Linked DNA regions of Saccharomyces cerevisiae S288C. Changing the gene in region 3 together with the main gene of any one other region gives a genetic interaction. Each region holds a gene or a part of one and is shown on either strand. Other genes may lie near its edges.

What was found.
Region 1: of FLO11 (region 3) and SFG1, changing one enhances a phenotype caused by changing the other (phenotypic enhancement), as found in Saccharomyces cerevisiae (one study listed by BioGRID).
Region 2: of FLO11 (region 3) and DIA1, changing one suppresses a phenotype caused by changing the other (phenotypic suppression), as found in Saccharomyces cerevisiae (one study listed by BioGRID).

Annotation. Positions count from the first base shown.
Region 1 is NC_001147.6:903,136-906,300, forward strand, and holds SFG1 (Sfg1p), read left to right. Parts: upstream 1-1,624; coding exon 1,625-2,665; downstream 2,666-3,165. Other genes in the region: YOR314W (uncharacterized protein), read left to right, coding at 1-237; metal cation transporter COT1, read right to left, coding at 3,101-3,165. UniProt on the Saccharomyces cerevisiae protein: Probable transcription factor required for superficial pseudohyphal development in response to nitrogen starvation.
Region 2 is NC_001145.3:903,109-906,335, forward strand, and holds DIA1 (Dia1p), read left to right. Parts: upstream 1-1,716; coding exon 1,717-2,727; downstream 2,728-3,227. Other genes in the region: YMR315W (uncharacterized protein), read left to right, coding at 1-741; YMR315W-A (uncharacterized protein), read left to right, coding at 1,178-1,285; YMR316C-A (uncharacterized protein), read right to left, coding at 2,554-2,865. UniProt on the Saccharomyces cerevisiae protein: Involved in regulation of invasive growth.
Region 3 is NC_001141.2:389,008-395,239, forward strand, and holds FLO11 (Flo11p), read right to left. Parts: upstream 4,669-6,232; coding exon 565-4,668; downstream 1-564. Other genes in the region: YIR020C (uncharacterized protein), read right to left, coding at 5,248-5,550. UniProt on the Saccharomyces cerevisiae protein: Homophilic binding protein that enables kin discrimination in heterogeneous yeast populations by mediating homotypic cell-cell interactions during flocculation, a reversible and asexual process in which cells adhere to form aggregates (flocs).

The DNA.
Region 1 (3,165 bases), on a different chromosome or scaffold from region 3:
AACCCTCTTGAGTCCTTGTGTCTTAACGACCGCATAGACGAACACCGTTGCAAAGAAGTCCAGTTATCTTCATTACGAAGTCTATTGTATGCTATGATTTTAAATAGAACCATAGGCAGCGAGACCGGCGTTTTTTCTTTTCTGCTCTTTTCTTTTCGTTACTTCGGAGAGGAAAGAGACTTATTTTACTGCTTCTTCTCCGTCTTTTTACTTAACATTACATATTTATTGGATTAGAACTTTTGTATAGGGGTAAACAATACTGAGGATATTCATAACTATCTTTTTTAGGTCTCCTTGGCTCTTTTAAGTAGAACAAAAAAATCTAGGACAGTTGCTTTGCCTTTTCAATGTCAGTTAAAAAAATAATGGAAACGTTAGTTCCCACCCAGAAAGACAACAAAAAAGTGTTTTCTTTTCGAAGTATTCCAAGATTTCGTTGTCATGGCATATCGGTACAATCTTTTGGTTGGAATGAATAAAATCAGTTATCGTCCCACCAATGGGAATAGAGCATATAATGTTATCTCAGGACAGCAGTGATGTCCAAGAAAGTAACTACGAGAGTTTTACTATACTACATATTATAAGGACAAATAGTTGCATAGCAACAAGCTTGGGGGATAAACATCAAGAGAATGCATTGAGTTACTACGCAGGCCTTAAAGTAAGGCGATTCCACGGCAGTAATTAGTTTAGATAACAACTTACTCTACTGCGAGCTCTTCTTAAAAGACGTGTCCTTTTAAGATTCAGAAGCATTTTCTTGGGTAGGGGTTTTTTGCGTTACTCTGTTTTTTGAGATCGTAATTCGACACATAAAACTCTCAGCTAGCCCACCCTTTGGGCAAGTTATACCTTTCTACTTTCGTCCAATCCATACATCGCCCAATTAGGATAAAAGTAAATAACATATTCGAGTTTTGTAAATATCCGAAAGGGGAAGACAAGGAAATATCTAGGCACCAAATCCCTTTTTGGAAATGCGAACCACGGGAATATGCAAAAAAAAAAAGAAAACAATCCCGCTTTTTCAAGATTTCAGGCCGATTTTGAGATTAAAGTTTGACAGCCTCAGTCTTAAAAACAAAACAGTATGACAGAACGATTCAAAGAAACTACGGACAAAGGATTTATGCTAAACTGGTCACGCCGTTATAGACAGCAGTAATGCATGGAAAATCCCATGGCTATTCTAATCGGGTTTAAACTTTTTTTTTTCAGCTGCGAATATCTCTTAGTGCAAATTGGTAAACAAGAGAGCTCACAACACACTAAATACGTTGTGTAACGATACATAGCCTTGCTTAGGTAAACGACAGATGCATGCCCATTTCGATAGGAAAATCTTGAATTTTAAGCCCGTTACCGTAAATGTCATTCGATACTGTTTACAGTTTAGTTTTAAAGCGGTAACATTCTTGTTAATTTAAAATGGATCAATTTTGTCACTCTACGAGGAAAATCAAGCGAAGTATTATTTAAACGCAACATTTCTTTGTGCCTTCCACACTTCAGCTATATTTGGAACTTAGGCGCGTTTAGGTGATAAGTTGTTCTGTAAATATGTTTGATTAGTTAAACAAGAGAAATATAAAATTAAGAAAAAAAAAATTTCAAAAACATGGATGAAATGCATTCTTCAGACACACTTTTGTTGCGAACACCGAAATCAAAAAAAAAAATTGGGCTTGTAATACCCAGTACACCAAGTAAAAAATGTAAATATTCATCAGGCTTTATAGCAGAAGACACTACGCCCTCCAAACGGTTTCGTTTATACCAAGCCAAATTTAAGACAAGTTCAAAGAATGTCAAAGCCCAAACTCTTAGCGTATCAATAAAAAAAAATCAAGGTGAAATCACCAATCCATTTATGACCGAAGGATATAATGATTACCGGAATATTGTCAGTCCTGGATTGAGTTTTGATAACGACTGCTTTTCAGAACATGAATTAGTTAGTCCATTGAGTGATATATCTTCGATAAACTCGACATCGCCTGATGTTGAAAAGATTGATTCTTTAGATCCTTTTGGCGTTGATTCTTTTGTCTGGAACTGTAAGCCGCTTGTTAATAAAGAAGCACTGGAGCTCCACCGAATGATTCATTCTTCGTTTCCGATGAGCCCACTGGAATCCAACAGTGATGTGCCACTTTTATTGCCTAAACTCAAAAAAAGGTTATCTCCAGTAAACAGATCGACCTTCAAGCCAACAAGGTACGAACCCTCTCACCGTCTATTGAAGCCCAAAAAATCAATTCTAACAGTACCAGCCAAATCTCTGAATCTCATAGTCAGTTCGTCGCGAGGCTCATTAAATGACGCTACCATCTTTGCCACCGAAATAAATTCTACTTTGAGCAATGAAGAAAACAAATTACCAGCAATTTCTAGTATTTGGGAGAAGCTCACAATTCCAGTAAACTCTTCAATTAAGGAGAAATACAAGAAGCTTAAAGACCAAATATATGGGCAAGCTAGTAATTTTGGCGAAGATGAAGATAATGAAGAAGACAATGAAGACGACCTTCCCGACGCGGCAGTAATAAGAGGTTACGAATTTCAGTCAGGAAGGCGCGATGAGCTGACGCAATGTAATGAACTACAGAGTACGAAGGACTACAAAAAAGTTCAGTGGGCAAAGGTTTTAGAACAATAACTAGGTTCTTTTTCTTCTAATTTGTTGAATTCTAAACAAAGGAGTTTTTTTTTATTATTTCTTAACAACTGGTCTTTTTAATTAAATGAAAAAAGATAACAGCATTATTGTGCTAAGTATTGTACTCTTTTTTAGAAGCTGGAGTAATCTAAAAAAAGCTAAACACCATTATTACTATTTTCCTTCCTCAAGTTGTTGTTTTGCAAGACTATTGCTATTATATTATTATTATGATCATCATTATTATCACCTGTTTTCGCTTTTCCTCTTTTTTTATATTATCTCCTATACTTCTTACTGTAACAAAATTTATGATAAACATTGTATAAAAACATTATAGACGACTATATATATGTGTGTGTGTGTATGTATATGTACCGTATAACGATTTTTAAAAGTATTTAATTCTTCACGCTTTTTCGTTATAAAGTCCTTTTAATGATCCTCTAAGCAATCAGCTGTGTTGCAGTTGGCAGCGTCGTCGATAAGACAAGTGGAAC
Region 2 (3,227 bases), on a different chromosome or scaffold from region 3:
GCCAACTTAGACCAAGCAAAGGAGATTGTCAAGATAGCAGAATCCACCCCATTGCCCGTTGGTGTGGCTGAAAATTGGTTATATTTACCATGTATTAAAATCGCAAAGGAGCAGATCGAGAAAATTGGTCCTGTAGTAGCATTCACCCACAATTCTACCGGTCCATTTGTTACTCAAAATAAATATTTGACCACAACCTGGAGACAAAAACCAGAGCACATTGGCGGATTTCTATCTGATGGTGGTGTCCACCAATTAGCTCTCGTTATTTCCCTACTCGGTGAATTTGGATCTGTTTCTGCATTAACGAGACAGGTGCGTGAACGTTCCGGTGCAGATGATATTGTCTTTGCTACTGTCCAGTTGAAAAATAAAGAGGTTATCGGAAGTTTTACTTATGGGTCTGCCTTTGGTGCTACCGAAAAGTCGGTTTTCTTGAAAGTCTATGGTAAGAATGGTACCGTTACCGTTGACTTATCAGACAAAAAAGACCCCGTTGTAAAAGTCAAATTAGGGGGTTCAGCTGAAGATAACGGTGACGAACAAATTTTTAAAGTCGATAATGATGAAAGTTTCGGCGTCAACGCTGAATTTTTGAATTTTCACGAAGCTGTCAGCAAGAAGGACAAATCCTTATACCTAGGCACACCCAGAACTGCATTTCACCATTTGGCTTGTGTGGACGCGTTTTTAAAATCTTCTGCCAAGAATGGTGACTACGTTAAAATTGAGCAGCCATGATTACCGTTTTACGATGTAACGCTTTTTTAACCTTAATAGATAGATTCCCTCATATATTTATAACTATGTACCCACATAAGTATACTTTTGGAATGATAATACTAACGAGATAAAAAACCGTTGAAAAATTTCTAAGTTTTCTTGAACTAAAAATAGCCAAAATTCTCCATCCACTTGTTGTTGCAAAATGTTACGAAGGCGAGGTTCTTGGAAATCTGGATGATTATGGGAAAATTCGTTCAACAAGAACGCCGAGCCTGGACGAAATACTTAGTCGGCATGGAACTAGTTATGAATGACTTTTCCTATATAAGATCTACAACCGTTTCCAATTCACCATGAGATATATATATGTTTAACGAATCAGGTACTCGTCCGAAGCATTTCGAGTAATGCAACCCCACAAGTGTCCCCCAAGAATTCACTGGGATTTTTGATGACCGAAAGAAAGCTATTGCAGCTGCTACGGCGTCCTTTCATCTCCCTTTCTTTATTCACGGCCTTAAGAGCTTGTCCGCTTCGCCCCAAAAGCCTAATTGCTTAGAGCATGAGAGTTGAAAACGACCAGAAGTGTCGTTTTAGGTAAGCATTCGGCCATAATGAACAGTAAGTTTGTCCGAAAAATACACCGCTAGGGTTCGATAACGAAGAGCGCATATCAATTGCGTTGTCGACTTAATTGCTCTCTTAGTACAACGGTATGTGTCAGTGATAAAATCCTACCGGTTCCACTTTTTGTGAGCGATAGATGACGGAACGTATGCGCCTATTTCTTTTTTTTGGCGCAGCAAGGGACAATGGTCCCTTTTTGAGAAAATGTTGTAGGCTTGGCCATCGGCGTGAACGCATATAAAAAGAAGACTGCCAACATGACAGTATTTGAAACAACTACAGATTTGGCAAAGTTCGCCAAGATAAAGAAGACCGAAGCAGGTGCTAAGCTTCCATTAAAAGTTTTTCAAGAAAAATCTGATTATGGGTTCAATAAGTAGATACCTTCTTAAGAAAGCAGCAGATGGGCTTAAAGATGAGCAGAGATTGAAGATTGAAATGTCCGATAGCAAAAGTGTCCCAGAGTGCTTTCATTTTAATAGGGAAAGAAGAATGCCCATAGCCGAGATAAACGGCGAGGATGGGTTTTTCATGTTTCCGTCTCAGCAATCGCTTGAAAATTTTGAAAACACTAAAAAGTATTCGAATGAGCTGAGTCCAGATGCAATTGGTATTCCATTATTCCAAATTATCAATTGCACTCTACCGTTTGGTAAAAGAGGTCATAGCAATACTGTGGTCGGCAATGTCCCATATTATAAAATTTTCAAATTTATTTTAAGAACGGCAGACGAACCTCCGCCTTATACTGTGGCAAAAATCGTTTGCTCAAACAACGGATTAATATTGTATAAAGTGCCTCTTTACGACATATATAAAAATGTCAGCCAAGCAAACGTAACTTACAGCTTCGTAGGGACTACGTCTACGGAGCCCAACTTACTAGCAATGGCTCACCGAGAAGGACACAGGGATTTGGACACTAAAGTGAATAATTTAAATCTCAGGTGGCATGTCACTTATTCGCCCGTAGTTACCAACGATCATTATAAATTAATTCTGTTAGCAGATTATGAAGTGAATCGTTTGGATGAAGATGTCATTAGAGCCGCTAAAAATAAGATGTCCATCGACCAAAAGGATCAAAAAGTTCAGAGGTTCGTGGCAGCTCATTATACTAGAGAATTTGAAACATCTCTTTTTAGGTGGGTCGCTCAAGAGGGCCACTTAATTCTTGGCGAGTATTCCACAGATCAAGGATCATTTGGATTGAATAATATCCCACCATTGACGGAAGAACTCGGGTGTCAGAGCCTGCTCATACATTACATAGAGTACATGAAGAGACAACGTAAAAAAATTGCGAAAGAGGCAAGGAGACAAAATAAAAGAAACGTTGCAAACACGACTAACATGAACATGAACCTCATGTAACAAAAGTTTGCGTATAATAAACCAGTATAGATGTGTAACTGTAATTTTTAACTTATCACAAGCTCGTTCCCTTCCTGCGTTGAAAAAGCGGGACAATGCCAGAATATAAAAAAAAGAAGAAACTTTAAACCCTGTCATATCTTGTCCGAGATCTCGTCGTTCTTGTTTAATTGATCTTCTTCGTATACTGCCAAAGGTGCCAAGGCACAAAAAAGTTTAAAGTGGCACGGGCTATTGCGTCACATAAAGCCCGTAGCGCAAAAAAGTGATAGCTGACTTCATTAGATCACCAAAATGGAAAAAACTTCGTGAAGATTTCTTTTTATCTTCCTCACAGTTTTTAACTTCCGGGTGTTATACTCTCCGTTTGAAAAGTTGATTTTGTTAACTTTCCTCTTTCCTTTTGGAGTAAAAACAATATCCTCGATAGGCAAGACCTTCCTGCACCGCTATGGCGGCCATTTTGATTTTTCTTTACTGTGGGAAGCAAGAACTTGTTC
Region 3 (6,232 bases):
GAAATATTCTTTGTTCAAAGAGCAAAGGTGCCTGTAAAGATCCTCTTATTCATCAAAGCCTGGTCGAAGATTATTAGTTGTGCCAAGGCAATATCAGGTTTATTAATCTTTTAGGAAAAATGTAAGGTTGTTACGTCTCTTTCCGTCTCGCGGAAAAACATTTTTACTCAAGCCGTCCGTGGGATGATTTTTGGTGGTTATCATTTTCCAAGACTCCAGACAAAAGAACGTGCAGGCGCTTGGCAAAAAGAAAAAAAAAAAAAGCGAGAGGGAAAAGTGGCGCGGTGCCAATACTACCGGTACTTGTTCTTGAATAAGCTATCAGATGGTCAAAATAGGGCTAGAAGAAAAATGGTAAAATAAAGTAAAAAAAGGTAAAAGATAATTTTTGAAGAACTAAAAAATATGTAAATGAATATGTATTCTACGGGTAGTTTTCTGCCTTACAAAATTATGGCAGCGAAAACAGAATGGTGGAAGAAAGTAAAGAGGGTATCGAAATAATATCTTAATTTAAGAATGAAAACATCGTAATGAAGAAACGAACATGTTGGAATTGTATCATTAGAATACAACTGGAAGAGCGAGTAGCAACCACATAAAGTTTCCAAGAACCTTGATATTAGCAGCACCTTGGTAAGTACTCGAGATAGAAGGAACAGAGTATGTAGCGACTGCAGAACCAGAAGCAGATTGTAGTGGACCAGTTAGAGATGGAGATGTGACAACGGGAGCCACGCTAGAAGCAGAAGCTGTTGTAGCTAGTTGGGATGTAGTCTTGATTGAAATAGGGTTGGTTGCTGTGGCCACAGTTTCGTAATTCTTGGCACCATTTGAACCTGGAATCAAAGTGGTTATGTAAGTGGTTGGGATGGACTTGGTTGTGTAACCAGTTGTTGTTTCGCCAGCGGAGTTAGTACCAACAGATGACTCAGTGGTAATAACTGTGGTTGGAATAGCCGTCGTGACAGGGGTGGTAGCCGAAGGTGCAGTGTTTTCGCCTGCGCTTGCAGAACTTACGATAGTCTTAGCAGAGCATACAGATGTAGTTTCACCGGCAGCGTTTGTAGCAGCAGAACATTCAGTAGTGGTTATTGTAGTTGGTACGGCATTAGTGGCAGGAGTTACTGGTGCACTTGGAGCCAAAGTGGTTACATAGGTGGTTGGTACAGACTTTGTTGTGTAACCAGTTGTCGTCTTACCAGCGGAGTTAGTACCCGTAGAGGATTCAGTGGTAACAACGGTGGTTGTGACAGCTGTTGTAACAAGGGTGGTAGCTTCAGTAGTGTATTCGCCAGTACCAGTTGAACAAGGAACAGTGGTTGTGACAGTCTTTGGAGAGCATCCAGAGGTAGTTTCACCGGCAGAGTTTGTACCTGTAGAGCAAACCGTAGTAGTAATAGTGGTTGGGGTGAAATTGGTAACCGTAGTGACTGATGGAGTTGGAGCAATTGTGGTTAGGTAAGTGGTTGGAATGTTTTTGGTGACAAATGTAGTTGTAATTTCACCACCTGGTTTTGTACTAGTAGAATACTCAGTAGTAACGACGGTGGTTGAGACAACTGTAGTTACAGGTGTGGTAGGTGAAGTGGTTGTTGATTCCGAGGCGGTTTCGCTTGGACTGGTTGAACATGGAACAGTAGTTGTAATGGTCTTTGGAGAGCATCCAGAGGTAGTTTCACCGGCAGAGTTTGTTCCTGTAGAGCAAACTGTAGTAGTAATAGTGGTTGTTGATGATGTAGTGACAGAAGTCGTAGTTGTAGTTGGAACAGTAGTTGTAACGGTCTTTGGAGAGCATCCAGAGGTAGTTTCACCGGCAGAGTTTGTTCCTGTAGAGCAAACCGTAGTGGTAATAGTGGTTGTTGATGGTGTAGTGACAGAAGTCGTAGTTTTAGTTGGAACAATGGTAGTTTCGGTTGTAGAAGAAACAGAGGTTTCTGTTTGACTGCCAGGGTATTTGGATGATGATGGAGTGACAGTAGTGCCAGTAGAAAAGCTTTCAGTAGTAGAGCTGAATGGAATTGAAGATGGAGCGGAGGAAGTGATGTTGCTAGAGGAAGATGGGGTTGGTACTGGTGCTACAGAGCTTTCAGTGGTGGAGCTGGATACTGGAGCAGAAGAGCTTTCAGTAGTAGAGCTTGATGGGGTTGGTACTGGAACAGAAGAGCTTTCAGTGCTAGAGCTGAATGGGGTTGAAGATGGAGCGGAGGAAGTGATGTTGCTAGAGGAAGATGGGGTTGGTACTGGTGCTACAGAGCTTTCAGTAGTAGAGCTTGATGGGGTTGGTACTGGAGCAGAAGAGCTTTCGGTAGTAGAGCTGGATGGAGTTGGCACTGGAGCAGAAGAGCTTTCAGTAGTAGAGCTGGATGGAGTTGGTACTGGAGCAGAAGAGCTTTCAGTGGTAGAGCTGGTTACTGGAGCAGAAGAGCTTTCAGTAGTAGAGCTGGATGGAGTTGGTACTGGAGCAGAAGAGCTTTCAGTAGTAGAGCTGGATGGAGTTGGTACTGGAGCAGAAGAGCTTTCAGTAGTAGAGCTGGATGGAGTTGGTACTGGAGCAGAAGAGCTTTCAGTGGTAGAGCTGGTTACTGGAGCAGAAGAGCTTTCAGTGGTAGAGCTGGTTACTGGAGCAGAAGAGCTTTCAGTAGTAGAGCTGGATGGAGTTGGTACTGGAGCAGAAGAGCTTTCAGTAGTAGAGCTGGATGGGGTTGGTACTGGAGCAGAAGAGCTTTCAGTAGTAGAGCTGGATGGAGTTGGTACTGGAGCAGAAGAGCTTTCAGTGGTAGAGCTGGTTACTGGAGCAGAAGAGCTTTCAGTAGTAGAGCTTGATGGGGTTGGAGCTGGAGCAGAAGAGCTTTCAGTAGTAGAGCTTGATGGAGTTGGTACTGGAGCAGAAGAGCTTTCAGTAGTAGAGCTTGATGGAGTTGGCACTGGAGCAGAAGAGCTTTCAGTGGTGGAGCTGGTTACTGGAGTAGAAGAGCTTTCAGTAGTAGAGCTGGATGGAGTTGGTACTGGAGCAGAAGAGCTTTCAGTGGTAGAGCTGGTTACTGGAGCAGAAGAGCTTTCAGTGGTGGAGCTTGATGGGGTTGGAGCTGGAGCAGAAGAGCTTTCAGTAGTAGAGCTGGATGGAGTTGGTACTGGAGCAGAAGAGCTTTCAGTGGTAGAGCTGGTTACTGGAGCAGAAGAGCTTTCAGTAGTAGAGCTGGATGGAGTTGGTACTGGAGCAGAAGAGCTTTCAGTGGTAGAGCTGGTTACTGGAGCAGAAGAGCTTTCAGTAGTAGAGCTGGATGGAGTTGGTACTGGAGCAGAAGAGCTTTCAGTGGTAGAGCTGGTTACTGGAGCAGAAGAGCTTTCAGTGGTAGAGCTGGTTACTGGAGCAGAAGAGCTTTCAGTGGTAGAGCTGGTTACTGGAGCAGAAGAGCTTTCAGTGGTAGAGCTGGTTACTGGAGCAGAAGAGCTTTCAGTAGTAGAGCTGGATGGAGTTGGTACTGGAGCAGAAGAGCTTTCAGTGGTAGAGCTGGTTACTGGAGCAGAAGAGCTTTCAGTGGTAGAGCTGGTTACTGGAGCAGAAGAGCTTTCAGTAGTAGAGCTTGATGGGGTTGGTACTGGAGCAGAAGAGCTTTCAGTGGTAGAGCTGGTTACTGGAGCAGAAGAGCTTTCAGTAGTAGAGCTGGATGGAGTTGGTACTGGAGCAGAAGAACTTTCAGTAGTAGAGCTTGATGGGGTTGGTACTGGAGTAGTAGTCTTCTTAGTGCATGTCTTAGATGTGGTAGTTTTCTTCTTTGTACATGGAGTGGTGTCGTGATGAGGAGGTGTAGGCTTTTCCTTTGTGCATGAGGTAGTGGTTGGGGGTGTAGGCTTTTCCTTAGTGCATGAGGTAGTGGTTGGTGTAGCAGGAGCGGTGGTTGATGATGATGTAGATGACTCGGAAGTGCTAGATGTAGTGGTAGATGACTCGGAAGTGCTAGATGTAGTGGTAGATGACTCGGAAGTGCTAGATGTAGTGGTAGATGACTCGGAAGTGCTAGATGTAGTGGTAGATGACTTCGTACCGCCACAATTATTGTCACAATCTATGTTCCAATAGAAGCCTGGGAAATCCGTTTGAGAGTGGCCTTGATTGTCATAGTTGTTACAACCAGTAGACAAATCAAAAGATGTAGTTCCCCATTGCCAGGAGCTTGCATATTGAGCGGCACTACCTTGCAAATACTCGAATTGAATTTGGAAGTTAGGCATCCACACCTGACAGCTGTTGACATCTTGTGTGGCATAAACTTCAAAAGTGGCTGTGAAATCAGTTGGGTTGTCAATCAAATAGGTATTTTCGTTGTAACCGTATAGTTGGACGGTACCTTTTGGACCAGTGACACCAATGATTTTCAAAGACCATAGATACTTCAGGTCAATATTTTCTTTACCTTTGACATGAATAGTGATTTGGTATGTGTTGTCTTGAACCCAAGAAACGGAAGTCACATCCAAAGTATACTGCATGATATTTTGCTGGTCCATGTGCCAATTGAAGTCTAAGTTGGGACAGCCATTAACGATAGAATTACAGCTAGTTCCTTCGGAGGATCCTCTTGGAACTAGTGCAGTTGGAAAACCCAAAGCCGAGTTAAATAGAAGCGAAAGGACCAAATAAGCGAGTAGAAATGGTCTTTGCATAGTGTGCGTATATGGATTTTTGAGGCCTACAAAAGTATATTTTAATTAGAACCACAACATGACGAGGGATAATAACTGATGAATAGGGTGCTTTTTATACGTTTATTTTAGGAAGCAAGAGATCCTTTTTATCAATTGGGAACCCTTCAACAATTTGTACTGGTAAGTCTATGAGTTATCCGTTCTTGAACTAGAAGAGAGCGCAGTAACGTAAATGCTTGAACATATTTGTTAAGGTAAATAAAACTGCCCTAATTTTTTATTTAATTCGAACACGGACATTCCTCAGATAAGACAAGTCTAACAGTTAATTCAAAGTAGAAAGAGCTTAATTTCTCCGTAAAAGAACGAAGTATATTGCGATGATGCCTTGAATCCCAATTGGTAACTCTATGACATTTTTGTAAAGGTTACCTCATCAGAAGAGAACGGACCTAAAAAGATGACCCACATTTCTCTAGAAACAATCGTACCCTAATAGTTGCTTTAAATTGCTCAGCGGTCAAGAAAACGTATCATAATGTTATTCTATTCTTGAGCAGGCACTTTTAGGGTTGGGCAATGTCCTCAAAGTAAATATTAGTAAACAAACGAATACCTCCAAATCCATTGAATTGAAAATCCATTCCAAGCTCTGCGCTTCCAATTGTTAATCACACCACCGATAGGCAATAGAAGTTCTGTCCGTGAAGATACCGCAGAATGAGTTGTGCCCGTATTGTTGCACCTAATTACGGAATCCCAAGGTATGCGATGTCCCAGTACGACCGTTAAAAAGACAACATGAATGACTGATCTGTTTAAGAGTATAGGCAGAAATAAAAAAGTTTGTGCAATGCCTGACAAAAAAAAGCTAATTTTTCTTTTAAGAAAGAATGTCATTCTTTTACCGCAAAGTTAATTTCTGCCTACAATCACCTTCTAAACGCTCGGACTGATTGCCTTGAGCAATCAGCAGTTCTTTGAAGCCACTGTCGCAACAAAGAAAAAGAAAAGGGAAGTCCATTCTTAGCCCCAAAGAAAAGGATGACAAAAAAAAGAAAAAAAGTTAACTCGTACCAGTAAAGCCTAATTTTGCAGTGATCGCTAGCCCCAGAGAAGGACTAAAGACAAAAAGGACCCACTCGATAGGAAAATAACGGCCGAAACTCTTTGGGCGACATTTTCTTGTTAAGAAAACAGAAGAAAAAAACCTTAATTTGAACTTTCCAGGCACACCCAAAAAGGATTATGCTTATGTAATGCCACATTCCGAGAAACTGAAAGGCAAAAAAGAAAAAGCCTTTTTTTTCCTGCCGCGAAAGTTTAATTTGCCTACCGGCGTTCCTATTGGAGTCAGGAAAAGATCACTAGGAATTACAGCTGTGAGAACATACTCTGGGGCTGGCGTAGGCACACAATCCGGTATTCCTAAAGTTTTGTGGTACAAAACTCCATACCTAAAACATAAAACAAATCTCACCCGTGGATCCTTTTATTCATAATACCCCGTCCTGCACGCCGTGGAACTGAGTCTAAGTTGACAAGGCTACGAATGAATTTTGGGAAATGCATACGAAGAGGA